2 linked regions of the Diceros bicornis minor genome follow. The protein of the gene in region 2 purifies or fractionates together with the protein of the main gene of each other region. This does not show direct contact. Links are inferred from orthologs where the notes say so. Each region holds a gene or a part of one and is shown on either strand. Other genes may lie near its edges.

What was found. The genes of interacting proteins can lie anywhere in the genome.
Region 1: the proteins of TRIM47 (region 2) and FBP1 purify together in Homo sapiens (affinity purification with western blotting; 3 studies listed by BioGRID). This does not show direct contact. The link is inferred for Diceros bicornis minor from reciprocal best matches to the Homo sapiens genes TRIM47 and FBP1.

What each region holds. Positions count from the first base shown.
Region 1 is NC_080761.1:5,705,726-5,712,889, reverse strand, and holds the start of FBP1 (fructose-1,6-bisphosphatase 1), read right to left. Parts: upstream 3,030-7,164; 5' UTR 2,928-3,029; coding exon 2,758-2,927; intron 1-2,757. UniProt on the Homo sapiens protein: Catalyzes the hydrolysis of fructose 1,6-bisphosphate to fructose 6-phosphate in the presence of divalent cations, acting as a rate-limiting enzyme in gluconeogenesis. Plays a role in regulating glucose sensing and insulin secretion of pancreatic beta-cells.
Region 2 is NC_080757.1:56,271,549-56,279,103, forward strand, and holds the start of TRIM47 (E3 ubiquitin-protein ligase TRIM47), read right to left. Parts: upstream 3,018-7,555; 5' UTR 2,992-3,017; coding exon 2,329-2,991; intron 1,239-2,328; coding exon 1,143-1,238; intron 858-1,142; coding exon 627-857; intron 447-626; coding exon 248-446; intron 1-247. UniProt on the Homo sapiens protein: E3 ubiquitin-protein ligase that mediates the ubiquitination and proteasomal degradation of CYLD.

The DNA of each region.
Region 1 (7,164 bases), on a different chromosome or scaffold from region 2:
GCATCCAAGCGAGCACCGACGCACCGCTTGTCCGACCATGCTGTGGCAGGCGTCCCACATAAAGTGGAGGAAGATGGGCACAGATGTTAGCCCAGGGCCAGTCTTCCTCAGCAAAAACAGGCGGATTGGCATGGATGTTAGCTCAGGGCTGATCTTCCTCAAAAAAAAAAAAAAATGTAATAAATAGATGAGATTTAGAGTTGGGTGAGCTTTAACTGATTTCTAAAGAATAAAGGAAGTGATGTGCGGTATGGTGAAAAGAGCCCCAACCTGGGCCACAGGCCAGTTCACCTCATCCTCCCTGGCCTCAGGGTCCTCATCTGTGCAAAGAGGGGCTGGACTAGGGGACTTCTGAGTCTTTCAGCTTATAATTTTATGATTCTGTGAACATCTGATTAGGAGCAATGAAGATGGCTACAACAGAAACTGTTGGTTGACAGAGAGAGAGAGAGAAAGAGAGAGAGCAAGAGAGCGCCCCGGGCTCTCTGCTTAAACTCCTGATGTGTCCCTGATGAGAAGTCACGGCTGAGCTCCATAACTGGTTCCTGGGAGGTTCCTGCAAATCCGCAATCATCTTGTCCCTCTGGATACATGCCCTTCTAGGGCAAGCCTTCAGCATTAACCAGGTATCTTCAAGCAACCTGGCCTTTTCATCCAGGATATCAAAGCCGATAATGAGTGTAATTTGGAGGCCTGACTTGAGATCTTGTCTCACTGCTGCCTGCCAGACTGACTGCATGTCATACTGAGACAGCCAAACTCTTATTTTCCCACAGGAATACTTAAGTGTCTAGGTTCTGGTCTGCCCCTGTCAACTACCCACACGACCAGCAATCAACACCTGTTTACGGGTACTGTTTGAAATAGTCAAAGACCTGTGAAATGCCCAAACATAGGGAAATAGTTAAATAGCTCAGGATATGTCCTTGCAGTGGAAGACTACGCAACAGTTAAAAAGAAAGAGGTGGATTTATATGTCCTGACATTGAAGGATGTTCATAATATATTGGTGAATGATGAACGCGAACTGCAGAAGAATATGTTAAGTGTGATCTCATTTTGTTTGCTATTTACAAATAGGCCTATGTAAATACATATCCATGTATAATTTATATGAGTATAAAGAAGTATCTGGGAAAATAACCAGTAAATTACTAATAGTGGATACCCCGGGAAATGGATATGAGGTGGGTTTCCCTTTGTGTTCTTTCAAGTGGTCTGAATTTTTGCAACTTATTAAGTGGTTTATAATTATAACAACAATATGGTTTTAAAACCGGGTATTTACAACTATCTGGTCTAAAAATATACGTATTTTACATAGCCAGAATTAGCACCCTTGCCCAGGACCCACTATCAAAATCCCACTCTCTAAGGTCCCACTATGTGAGGTTACTTAACAGGTGGGAAAGATACAGCTCAAAGCAGATCTTGTGTTTCTGATTCTCTTTGGGGTTGTGAAAGGTACTGATGTATTTTTAAAACAATACAAGAAATGACAAGCACTCTTTTTCAAAAAGCCCCCTGGTCCTCAAAAGCAGGTAAGGCTGTGAGGACACCTGTACTTGTTGCAGATTAAATGTGAAGTAAGATTTTAAGTGAGTGTGTTTCCTAAGCAAAGGCTCCTTAGAAATGTACTCTTAAGAGGGGCTATGGGTGAAATAGTGATGGAGTCACCACCTTCCTAACATACCTGTCCCAGTCTCTCTCCAACAAGGCCCGTCCCTGCTTGACATCTGAAAATAAATATGAACACACGCTCCTTAAGAGTTAGCTCCACCAACCCAAACTATGGGACCCAAGCCAAACAGCTGACCAGAAACGGCATCCAGGCTTCAGGCATTATACTTTTTCAGATCAGCTATGACTATCATGCACAATTTTTATAGTGTTCCTAAGTGTGGGAAATGTTAGGAGGGAGTGTGGGCAATCTGAAAAGCCACGTACCTTTCAGTTACAGTGAGGACCAGTCTAAATATAAAATACTTGTGCACAGCAGAATAACCCAAAGGGTATTGTGTTACTTACAAAAAGCCTCACAAGAAGGTGACCTTTGAATTCCCATGTCCCCTGATTCCTTTGCTACACAGTGTGATCTGCAGACCAGCAGCATTAGTACCACCTACCGCAGAAGAACTTCCTAGAAATGCAGAAACTCAGGCCCCACCCCACACCTACTGCAGCCCTTTGCACACCGGCATTGCTGCTCCTGAGAGCTCTGGGCCTGCAGGCTCCCTCCCAGCCTGCCTCAGGGGCCCCTGGCTCCTAAAAGAACTTGTAGAGTCAAGGAGATACTGGATTAGAAATCTGACTTGGGACCTCCGTGCCAAAGAGAGTGAAGGAGGTCAAAGAAGAGAAAAGGAAAGAAAGGCACCCACTCCACGACTTTCCTGTATGAGGCTTGATGGGTACGGCAGGCAGGCCAGGTGCCCACCCCGGCCAATCAGTTTCACCAGGAGGAAGCTGAGAGGGGTGCCAAGGCAGGCTGCTCAGTCCAGGGGAGAGGACTGCAGGATGGAGGCAGGTGTGGACTGGGAGACAGGTCCCCAAGTGGGAACCCCAAGCTCAAGAGAGCCAGAACCAGGGCTTCTGAAGAGAGGGGCTACCAGAGAGAGAGGGAGAGACCCCCAGCTGTCAGACAGACAGACAGGCTGACAGCAGGAGGGCCGGATGACTAGATATCAGACTGCCAGGTAGACCCCCAGCCGGACAGACAGACAGACAGGGTGCAGCGGGGCGGCCGCAGGCCTGACTCACAGGTGCGCAATGCCCGCCTTGCGCACGGCCGTGGAGATGGCTTTGACCGCGGTGCAGAGCGAGTTGAGCAGCTGGGTCATCTCGCCCGTGCCGCGGGCCTTCCTGCCCTCCTCCATGACGAAGCGGGTCAGGGTGACGATATCCGTGTCGAAGGCCGCCTGGTCCGTCATGCTGGGGCCGGGCTGCTGCGCGGGGCGGCAGGTGCGGGCGGCGGGACGCGGCGGGACGGAGCGACGGCCGAGTGTCTGCACCCCTCGGAGCCTAAGTGGCCCAGGCCAGGTCCCCGCCGCCGTGTCCCGGGGGAGCCTATAGGCGCCAGGTCACTGCCCCCCGCCCCGGAACATCTCCGCCCACGCCCCCGCCCCCTCGACTGCCGCCCCGCCCCTCCGATCCCCGGTGACGTGGGGGACCCGGGTCGCCGCCCCCGCCGCCCCCTCTGCTTCCTCCGCTGTGGCCCCCAGCCCCCGCGCCGCTGGACTGCCGCTGGCGCCGTGGACATCGCTCTGGGTCACCTGCGTTACCTCCTTCAGTCCCCACGGCGACCCTGGCGCGCAGGTGCAGTCAGGATTTTCCCCCAAGACGTGAAACGGAAGTTCGGAAGGTGAAGGAAGGCGATCCCCGCGACGCAGCTAGCCCGGGAGGACGCGGGCGCTGCGGCCCGGCCCCGCGGCCTGCTCTCGGCACGTGGGTCTGACCGCTGCCGTCCCCGCCCCCATCGTCGCCACCTGTCCCTGCTCCCTGCCCTCTGTCCCCCCTGCTTGGCCTGTCACCTGGCTCTTCTGACCAACCTCAGGAGACGTGGATTTCCATGTCCCTCACCTGTCTGACCGCCCATGTCTGGATCCTTCTAATCCAGGCCTCTTCCTCTCAAGGTTCCTGTAATTCCAGAGCTGTTGGGAACCGTAGTTTCCGACATCTGCGTTTTGCAGAGGAAACAGTGGCAGACACAGAGAAGTGTCTCCTGGGTGCTGAGGCCAGAAGTCTCTTAGCCCACATCTTGACCGCTGTGTAGCCACCACGCTGCTCTCCTCCCGCAGTTCATACGCTGATCCAGGGAACAGCATTTATGGAGCACGTACTGTGTGCCAGGCACTGCCCCATGCACTGGGATACAGCCTGAACAAAGTAGAGAAAGCTCCTGCCTGCTTGACCTTACCTTTTAACAGAGAGACGGTAGAAAATAAACAAACACTAGGTTAGGATGTTAGCTGAGCCAGAAGTGCTATAGAGAAAAATGAAATAGGGAATGGAGACAGGGAGCGCTGGGGCAAGAGTTGCATAGAGTAGTGAGGAAGAACTTCACTGAGAAATTGACATTTGAGCAAAAAGCAGGAGGGTGTGAGAGAGCAGCTGGTGGAGATTGAGGAAGTATCTTCCACAGAGAGAAGAGCAAGTGCAAAGGCCCTGAGGTGTGAGGGTTTGTGGCATGTTTGAGTAATGGCCTGGAGACCAGTGGAGCTGGAGTAGAGCTATCCAGGGGGTGAGAGAGAGAAGATAAGGCCCAAGAGGGGAGGGGAGGATAGAGGTGTGAGGCCTGGAGAGCCAAGTAAGGTTTGACTTTGCCTCAGAGGAAAACCACTGGAGAGTTTCCAATAGTGGGGATGGGTGATCTGCCCTTTGCTTTCATACTCTGGCTGCTGTGTTAAGATGAGACCTAAGAGAGAAGACAGATGCTTGACTGAGAGCTGGTGATCCAGCAAGGTAGCAGTGGGCATGATGAGAACTGACTGCTTCCTGGATTGAAGGTAGAGCTGACAGTTTTGTTTACAGATGAGATGTGAGGAAGGACAGTTCAGGATGATTCTAAGGGTTGGAGCCTGAGCAACTGGAATGTTGGAGTGGCCCTCGACCAGGAAGACCAGGAGGGGCATACACTGGGGGTGTGGTTGAAGATTAGGAATTAGTTATGGGATACACTAGATTTCAAATGCCTATTAGACATCCAAGGGAATGTCAAGTAGACAGCTGGATTTGTGACTCTGGAGTTCAGAGGAGAAGTGGACGCTGGAGATATAAATTGGAAAACCTCACTGATGAATGGTGTTTGGAGCCATGAGACTGGAAGGGATCACCAAGGAAGGGGTCGGCTGAAAGCCAAGAGGTGTGGCACTCAGGAAGCCAAGTGAAGAATGTGAGTCAAGGAGCAGGGTTGACCCGTGTGCCAAATGCTGCAGACGGGTCCAGCAAGATGAGACCTGAAAGCTGACCGCTGGATTCAATCGTGGGGACCCGGCGTGCTGCTGCTTGTGCCCAGGGTTGTCAGGTGGGGGAGCGCTGGATGCGGGAAGGGGTCGTACCACCAGGAAAGATAGTTACTGTCTCCTCTTAGCCCAAGGGGGCATTGATACCACTGCAGAGAGAGCAGACCTCTTGAGGGTCCACTTAACTCTTTGCTCAGGCAAGTTGCTCAGGCAACTTTTCAGGAGAAACACTGCAGGGTGTTAAAAGGAAAAAAAACACCTCAGAAGAGAAATGTTTCCTCGAATATAAAATCTGAAACGTGATGACTAATATTTTTGGCCTAGCACTTGTTAACAGCAGCTCTGTTCAAGACTTTGCCCCTTCACGTGTCAGATGTGTTAGTCCGCAGGAGCTCAGGTTGGCTAGGATCGGAAAAGTCGTCTAGTCCAACCCAGCCCTCCTGAAGTTTAATCCCTTGCAAACTGTCCCTGGAAAGAGGTGAAGAGCTCAGGATGGGGGTTGAGCAGGCCCGCTGGATTCCCAGCTTCCAGCCCTCATAGCCTGGTACCCAATCCCTCTAATCCCAGTTTATTTGTCTGTAAGGTAGGATGATTGCTTGAGCTGGCGGGAGTGTCATGAGCATGACATGAGATGATGTTGGCAGAGTGCTCAGCTCCAAGCTGGACACAGAGGATGCACTGAATACATGGAAGAGACCTCTGTCTAGCTCAGTTATTGATCCCTGTCACCCACAATAATGGGAAGCCCACCACCTACAAGGCAAACCATCCCCCTTAGGAACCGGCCACTTGGCATAGTGGTGAAATGTGCAGACTCTAGAGCTGGACCACCTGGGTCTGAGTCCTGGCCTTGGCCCGTACTGGCGGTGAAAGCCTGTGCAAGTTCCTGATCTCTCTGAGCAACATTTTGTTCCTCTGTAAATTGGGGCTAATGATTGTGGCCATCTCGTTGGATTCTACAAGCGATGCAGGTAAGGTGTTTACGAACTCTGCCCAACCTGTAGTAAGTACATGCTACGGAAGTCTTTCATTCATTATACAGATAGTGTCAGCTGGTGTTTTCATCTGAACAGAAGAAAGAAAGTTCCTTTGCCATCAAAAGGGGGCTGAAGGGACATGAGAATGGATAGCCTCAGCCTATATTTACCTGTTGTGCAATTATGTCCCCCCCATCATGTTGGATAACTCTGACGAGTCCTCTTCGGGTCAAGATGCATAAACTCATCACCTGGGTGTTAGCCAGAGACCAAGGATGGTGCAGGACCAGGGGAAGGCATTCACCTTGTGCATGGTTCTCCACACGTGGGATTTCTCCCTCCCGCTGTCACCCACCCCATTGCAGAGTTGCTCTTTGCTGGCTGCAATGATTTCTCCTCCTCTCGCATCACAAAACACACTCCGATTCACACAATACTGCAGGTTCGAGTCGTGTGTGCGATATTACCAATTTTGTAATGGCTGTGAGTCCTGTACAGAAACAGGCACCACCCATTTCCTCACCAGGCTCCAGCCCCAGGAGGTCAGCTCTGGTCTGTGTCAGAGACAGGAAGTTGAGAAGTAACAGTCTGGACCATCACTCACCGCCCCCGCCACCCACCCCTGAACCCAGCCTTCTGCTTACTTTTCCCTCAGGAGGGCAGTTAGTGACATGGAAAGAAATACCAAGTGAGGGCTCATGAGAAAGGGATTGTAGCAGTGTGGCCCCTCCATAAGTGAGTGCCCGGCTCCTGTGGCCACAGTGCCCTCGTGTAGGTACTGGAGACAAGACCCGTAATCTCTGGAGCGACAGAAACTAGACAGCCACACAATGGAGCGAACACCTGTGTAGCTCTTGTTAAATGCACAGCGCTCCCAGGGGGCTACAGACACAGCCTTTCACCAACCAACACCCTATGCTGTGGTTCTCTCATGCTCCTCTCTCTACAGATGAGGGAACTGAGGCTTCTTAAGGTCAAAAACTTGTCCAAGGCCTGTGGCCAGCCAGGAAGTGGCAGAGCCAAGACTCAAACCCTGGTCTATCTGATTCCAAACCCCGCATTCCCACTGGCCTGCTGGTTCCCTGCTAAGTGCAGCCGGCTCCGTGGCGAGGCTGAGCCTGTCCACTGCAGCTTCAATAATACGCATTCCGAATTGTCCACCCATTGGCTCTAGAGCTGCTTCTTAGGCATGCGGTCATTCATTCTTTACTCAACAAATAGTTATTGAG
Region 2 (7,555 bases):
CCACTTGGCCCCTGGGTCTCAGCCCCTCTGGAGCTAGAGAGTGGGCTAGGAGAAGCCCCTCTGCCCCCTAGGCTGTGGCCAAAGGGGCTGACTGGTCATTACAGGGTGGTGGCTCTGGTCCCTGGCAGGATTTGTGTCCTACCCTGCACCAGGCACAGTTTCTATTCTCCACTCCTGAATGGGCACCAGGCCTGGGGGCCTGTGCGGGGAGACTGGGGAAGAGTGAGTCACTTCGGGGGGCACCCACCTTCCGTGCCCAGCTTCTGCAGCCCATCCTCGTCACTGCCCAGCCCCCGCAGCTGCTCCCACTGGCTGGTGCAGGCCACAGTCAGCACGTCTCTCACTGCCCGCACAGCTTGGGATGACTTGGTGAAGCTGAGCTCCTTTGGAGGACCGGGCCCAGGGCCGCACCCCTCCTCCAGGGCCAGCCTGAGTGCCAGGAGCTCCTGTGCCAGATAAATACCCATTAAGGCCCTGCTGGCCACAGCTCCTCCAGGCTGGGGTGAGACAGCTCTGCCGGGAGGCTGGCACAGCCCTGAAGGCCAGGCACCCACTGCCTTCTCTTCCCTCCACCTCCTGCCTACCCCCCCTTCTGTGCCCTCTCTGGCCCAAAAAGCTGCCCTCACCTGCAGGAAGCTGACCGAGTCGGCTTCAGGGACCTGACTGAGGTTGTGGCGGGCCCGGCTTAGCCTGCTGCGCTGTTCTTCCTGCCGCCGCAGGTCGCCCTGGGAGCGGCCAAGCATGAGGGCCTCCCCCTCCTCGATGAAGCCCAGCACCTCTGTTTGGAACCCTTGCAAGGTTGCTGCAGCCTCGGCAAACAGCCGGCTCACCCTGTCCCGCTCTGCCACGGCTGCACTCTGCATAGGACAACAGTGGGGCAGCGATGAAGGCAAAGAACTGCGCTGTGTTGGCCCTATCCTTCCCAGACCTCACCTTCCCACCCTGCCCTCTTGGAGAGACAGAGGGACCAGCCCGAGCTGCCCTGGATCTATGCCAGGCCAGAGGAGATGCTTGTGCTCAGCAGGGCCGGACAGTGCCCTGAGCACAGGCTTCTTTGGAGTGGACCGTGCCACGACGAAAGCTCACACTTTCAGGAGCCTGCTGCAGGAGTGGACAGGGACCAGGGTAGCGTGGGGTCTGACCTTGATGAGGGCCACCGTGCGCCGGGACTGTGCAATGCCGGCGCCCAGCTCGTCCATGCGGTCCTCCACAGCGCTCAGGACTTTGGGCTGCTCCGCCTGTGGATGACACCTTCCTGAGTATGGGGTCTGGAGAGGACACAGCCTTGCACTGGGGTCCCAGGCTTTACCAGAGGGAGGAGAGAAGTGACCCCAGCGTGGTATCTGTGCATAGGTGGGACTGGGAGTGGCCATGATGTCCCATAATATGTCAGAGGTGTCTCAAGCCCAGGCTGGTGCCATTTCCAAATGCCTAGGGAGAGCACAGTCTGGTTGGGGGTGGGGAGGTGGGGTTTTGTCTGCCTCCCTTCTCTGACCAGTAGGCAAGTACAAGGCCATCCATGGTCCTCAATGTTGCTCACATTTGTTTGAGAACTTCCTTCAGAGGAAGAGGCAGAGAATGATAGAGAGTGAGGAGTGCTGCACAAGAGGGCATTCAGCTGTCCTGGGGATCCCTGTCCCCAAAGAGTCTGTGTCCCCAATCCAGGCCTGAAAAAAGGGAATTCCAGGCAAATCCCTTGGGTTTTATGAATCACTGCTCCAGCCAGGAGAGACGGAAAATCCCAAGGCCAGAGGCGCCAAGACCGGGCTGGAGGCCAAAGGAAACTGGGGGCGGAGGTAGCTGGACGGACTGCGCGCACATGCTCCCACCACCGGCCCCCGGAAGAGCTGGACAGAGCGGTCTGTGTGCTCGGCCTACCCTCTGCGGCACTCCTGTCGCCTGCCACACCCATCCAAACCCCCAGTCCCAGCCCAGGGCAAATCTGAGCTGAGCCCGACCCCGGCCGGGCGCATCAGCCGCGCTGCCAGAATCAGCCGCCTGGGACCCCGCCGGCCTAACCCGGCCCCCTCCTGCCTTAGTCCCCCCATCGGCCCCGCCCCGGCTTCAGGCTCCTGCCGGCCCTTCACGGCCTTTACGCGTTCTCACTGGGTCCCTTCAGCCCCCTATTCCCATCTCGAACGGAATGTCCCACAGCGAGCGGATGACACTGTCACGGCTGGAAGGGGCAGCAAAGATCCTCACGTTACAGGAGGAAATTAAGACCCAACCCTGGAAGGATGAGGGTGAGAGGGGCAGTCCAGGGCCCTCGGCCGGCTCGCGCGGCCGTCCGTCACCCGCCCTGGCCCGCCCGCGGTGCCCGCACCTCACCTCCTGGAGCGCGCGCTCCTGCTCCAGCGGCACCAGCTCGTGGCCCCGGTGCTCCTGGGCGCCGCAGGCCTCGCACAGGCACACGCGCTCCGCGCGGCAGTAGCGCTCCAGCGGCCGCAGGTGGCGCGGGCACAGGCTCTCCTCCAGCCGGCGCAGCGGCGGCACCAGGCGGTGTCCGCGCAGCGCAGGGCTGCGCTCGTGTGGGCCAAGGTGCGCGGGGCAGAAGGAGGCGAGGCAGGAGAGGCAGGAGAGCGCGGCGGGCAGGGCGGCGCCCTCGGGGCACGCGTCGCAGCGCACCGGCTCTTCGCCCGCCGGCCACGGCTCGGGCGCGCAGGGAGCCGACGGCTCCGAGGTGCTGGGCGGCGCACTGGGCGCCGCGGGCTCGGCGGCCGGGCCACGGCCCGAGCCTGGGCCCGAGCCCTGGCGGAGCTGCAGCAGCTCGGACAGCGTGTGGTTCTTGCGGAGCTGCAGGCCGTCGGGGAAGGGCTCCTGGCACAGCGGGCAGCGGGCCGCGCCTCCGGGCCCGCCGGCGCCACCCGTGCCGCGGTGCGGCCAGAGCGCGCCCAGGCAGGCGAGGCAGAAGTTGTGGCCGCAGGGCAGCGTCACCGGCTCCCGGAGCGGCTCAAGGCAGATGGGGCAGCTGAAGGGCCCGCTGCCGTCCATAGCTCCGTGGCCTCCGGGCCACCGCCTGTTCTGCTGCCGCCTGGGAGGGACCCGGACCGTTCGTGCCGCGGCGCCACCCCCTGGGACGGAGGCCAAGGGTTCGGCCCACTTCTGTCCCGGGCTCGGACCGCCCCCCAGCGCCACAGGCCCGCCCGCCGGTCCCCAAATACCCGGCCCCAGCCCAGACAGCGCAGGGCGGCCTCTGGGCCCCGCCGGACTCCGAGGGGCTCCTGGGCGATCGCCCCTCCTGGGCCCGGCGGCCCGTGAGGTCTGAGGGGAGGGCGTTGCCGAAAGGGCTGTGCGAGAGAGGGCGGAGGGCAGAGAATGCTGAGGACACACTGGAAGGAAGCTGGGAAGGGATTCACCCCTGCATTATCCCTCTATCCTCCCCCACGCCATGGCCAGGCCACCCCACTGTCACCCAGTAGCTTCGCGCTCCAGACCCTCTGTGGCACTGTTAGCAAAGTTCCTGGGCTGCTGACTGCAGAGAAAAATAACTGCTGATGTGCGCATGTTTTTGCCCCTTAGCGACTCTGTTTACCCCCGGCGGGGAACTTGGGCTTCTCTAACCCTGAAATGGGAAGTTGATGTAATCCTTCAAGTCCTTGTCTGAGGAATTGAGTTTGGGTCCATGGACACTCCTGAGCCCCTGCGGTGTGGGTAGCGTGAGGGGTGGGGGCTCCCCAGGTGGAGGCACTTCTTAAGACTCATCTAATTATGCACTTAAAATGGTGCATTGTATTCTATGTAAGATATACCTCGATAATGTTAAGTTTAAAACAAACAGCAACAAAATAACTAAAGCAGCCTTGGATTATAACCCAAAGTATAAAATAAACATCCCTGAGTCCCTGCTGATATAAATAAATGACTGGATAAATAAATAAGTGAGGGAGAAGAGGCAAATTTCCCATTCAGAAAAATTCCAAATAATTTTTGTAGATACTCCACGGTGGAGCGTAACTTCCCACTCCTTCAGGGTGGGCTCTGCATAGTAACTTTCTTCAAAAGGGAGAAAAAGAGTAACTGTACAGTGGAGAAACCTGACAAACACTACCTCAACCAGGTGATCGAGGTCAACATCAACAGGGATAAGTCATGTTGATAGTAAGCACCCTTGATATGATGTGGTCCTCCTCCCTCAAAACCCATAACTGCAGTCTAATCATGATTAAAACATCAGACAAATCCCACTTGAGGAACGGTCTAGAAAACCTCTGACCTGTCGAGGTCATCAAAAACAGGGCAAGTCTGAGAAACTGTCACAGCCCAGAGAAGCCTAAGGAGACACGAAAACTAAATGTAATGTGTACCCTGGATGGGCTCCTGAATGAGAAAAAGGACATTAGGGAAAAAGTAAGGAATTTGAATACATTATGGAATATAGTGGATAAGAATGTATCAGTATTGGCTCTTTGTGACAAATGTGCCATAGACAAGTAAGATGTTAATGAAAGGGGAAATTGGGGGTGAGGTACATGGGAACTCTGAATTATCTTTGCAACTTTTCTGTAAATTTGTAAGTATTCTAAAATTAAAAGTTCATTTAAAAATATAGAATAATTGAGGCAATCCTTCCCACCCCCAGGCCTGCAGACCTCCTGCTGGTGAGGGCCAAAGCCGGCGGAATAAAGGGGTGAGCAGGGGCCATCCACCTAGAAGTGGGGCTTAACCTTTCTCAAGTGCCAGGGCCCCTCCCCAAGCCTGGTGCAGCCTACAGATCCCTTTTCAAAGTAAGGCTTTTAAGTGTACAAAACAAAATACATGGGATTCCATGGAAACCAATTACATTGAAATTCAGGTACAAAATATTAAGAAAACAAATTTGTGATAAAGTTATATATGTTTCTTTAACACAAATAACAAGATCTGATGGAGATCTAATAATTACTGTGTTTTTGAAATAGTGATGAACATAAACAACGTTTCAAGTTCTCTGTCACCACTGTAATGTGCTAGGAAAATATCTAATTTCTAGTGGTGACAAGTCACAGGTATTGCTAATACCACTGTGGTGTGGTTTCTCCATTCATAATAGCAAGAAACGCTAAATTTCAGTTAGAGAATAGTGAAAATAAAGATAATTTCCCCCCAAGACCCCAAGTTAAGAATGTCTAATTTAGAAAGATGCTATGCAGATCCCCCTGACGTCTTTCCTGGAAGGAGGGAAGAAAACTAAGACCTATTAAATGTTAAAAGAGAGGTGCGATCCACTCCTGGGGGATTCAAGGGAAGGAGTGGTGAATCATGGAGGCCCAAGTGGTGGAAGTGGCATTTGAGCTGGGCTTTCACTAGTCCTGCTAGGACTCAGGCGTGCAGAAACTAGGGTGGGAAAAGATCTTCCGGGCAGAGGAGTAGCAGAGGGAACCGGCCTGGGTGTGGCCAGTTTGGCAGGAAGACTGGTAATGAGTTCCATACGTTGGTTTCCACAAGGAGCACTTGATCATGACCGTCCCTTGTTTGCCAAGACCCAGGAACAGTTTGGAGGCTCAGGCATCTGCACTGATCCTGCTCCGAGGCTTGGCAGCCAGGCTGCCTGGGCTTGCTGAGACCACAGCCCCGCCTGGTTCTGGAGGGGAGGGGGGTGCCACTCCGGTTGGGGGCTGCTCAGAGACAAGTTCCAGCTGGCCCCCTGCTCCCCACCCCACAGCCTGTTGGGGAAGAGCTGCTCCCCCAGGAAAGCGCGGAGATGTGATTTGTCAGGGTGGAGGCATTTTTATATTTTATTTCCATTATCATAGTTTTAAAGTTGCTCAATATATTAATTCTTTTTGAAATAAATTGGCTCTTAAGGGGCAAGGGTAACTGGCACTTCTGAGGTCTGTAGGGGCATGTTCCTGCCTGCATCTCACTCTGCCCTTGCAAGGACTGTGGCATGGGATGAGAAGTGGAATTCCAACAGGTTACATATCTTGCTGGAGGTCACATAACTAGTCCTGCGGAGGAGGCAGAATTTCAACCCAGAAGGTGCAATCTGAAAATAATCCTAAACCTCATATATGACCCTGTCTGGCTGCAGTATTGCTTAAAAAAAAAAAAAAAAAAAGTCAAACAAAAGCAAAAACAAACAGGCAAAAGCAGCCCAGCAAACAAGAGTAATTAGCAAGCCACTCCAGCTTTGCTTGCATCTCTGAAAGAAATCGAAATGGTGGGCCGGCCCTGTGGCTTAGCGGTTAAGTGCGCACGCTCCACTACCGGCGGCCCGGGTTTGGATCCCGGGCATGCACCGACGCACCGCTTCTCTGGCTATGCTGAGGCCACGTCCCACATACAGCAACTAGAAGGATGTGCAACTATGACATACAGCTATCTACTGGGGCTTTGGGGGAAAAATAAATAAATAAAATTAAAAAAAAAAAAAAAGAAATTGAAATGGAGTCCAAGCCATGTCCCAAGGTAGCACTTTTTCTTTACGCTTTTGGTGTATCTTTAAAAATCTGATTTGTATTTATTTCAAAATAATGTATTTAGAGTATTTAAAAAGTAAACAATTTAATGAGGTGTATAATAACAAAAACTGGCAGTCCCGTGTCCCACCCACTCCAAATTCTTGCTCCCAGGGACAACTGGTTTCAACTCTTTTAACTATTTTCCATAGCGTTTACCTCCACATCTCTAAAGCACGTGCTTACAAGCCTTGAACACCTGTGTGGATGTTTGTGCCCGTGTTTCGTGTTTCTGGAGATGTAGATTCTTCACTTCTCTGTTGAATTCCCTGTTGCTGGGATCCCAGGTCTTCCTTTCTCTTCATTGCTTTACTTCTTTATTTCTGAAAAGTGCGTGCTCTGGGAGCTTTCTGAGAATGGATGCGGAAGTGTCTGCAAGTGCCTTTGTTCAGGCTTCTTCCTTGATTGACAGTTCGGCTGGGCATGGAATTCTAGAATGGAAATCCTTTCCCCTCAGAGTCTCACAGGCACAGCTCCATTATCTTCTAGCTTCCAGTCTCATACTACTCGAATCCCCATTCCCTAGCGTCACCATGCTGCTCCCTTCCTGCCTGGAGAACAGCAGCCTCTATTCTCTCTACTCCTCACCTCTCTGGTGACCAACTCCCTCCAACTCCACTGGCCCCAAAGGCCCCGAAGGCCCGTCTTTTAGAATCACTCCCACCCTCCCCTGCCCTTGTTCTGTCTGTGTGCCCATCCTCCTGACTCTGCCTCACAGAAGCCCAGAAACTGTGTGGAGCGGGGCAGAAATGCTGGAAACACCCATAGGCTAATCACGTGTTCCCTTTACAAATGTTACACCCCAAAGTCTATCCTTCTTTTCCCCTGTGTATCAATGCATTTTTTCTGGAGAGGAGATGGAGTGTTCTGTGAGAATCAGGTAGACTGAGTGAATTTAATTTGAAGTAGCTTCTGAGAGATTTGCAAATGCTTGCCCCTGCACTCACTTGAGAAGCACTGCTCCATAGCACACTCTGTAAAAGATGGCAGCAGCCTCTCGCCATACGTAAATAAAGGTTAATAGTCACAACACAGACCACTCCCGCAGAACAATATGGAAAGGACTAACAACCTGATAAAAAGGTAAATTCACAGAATAAATGACCCAAAACATTTCC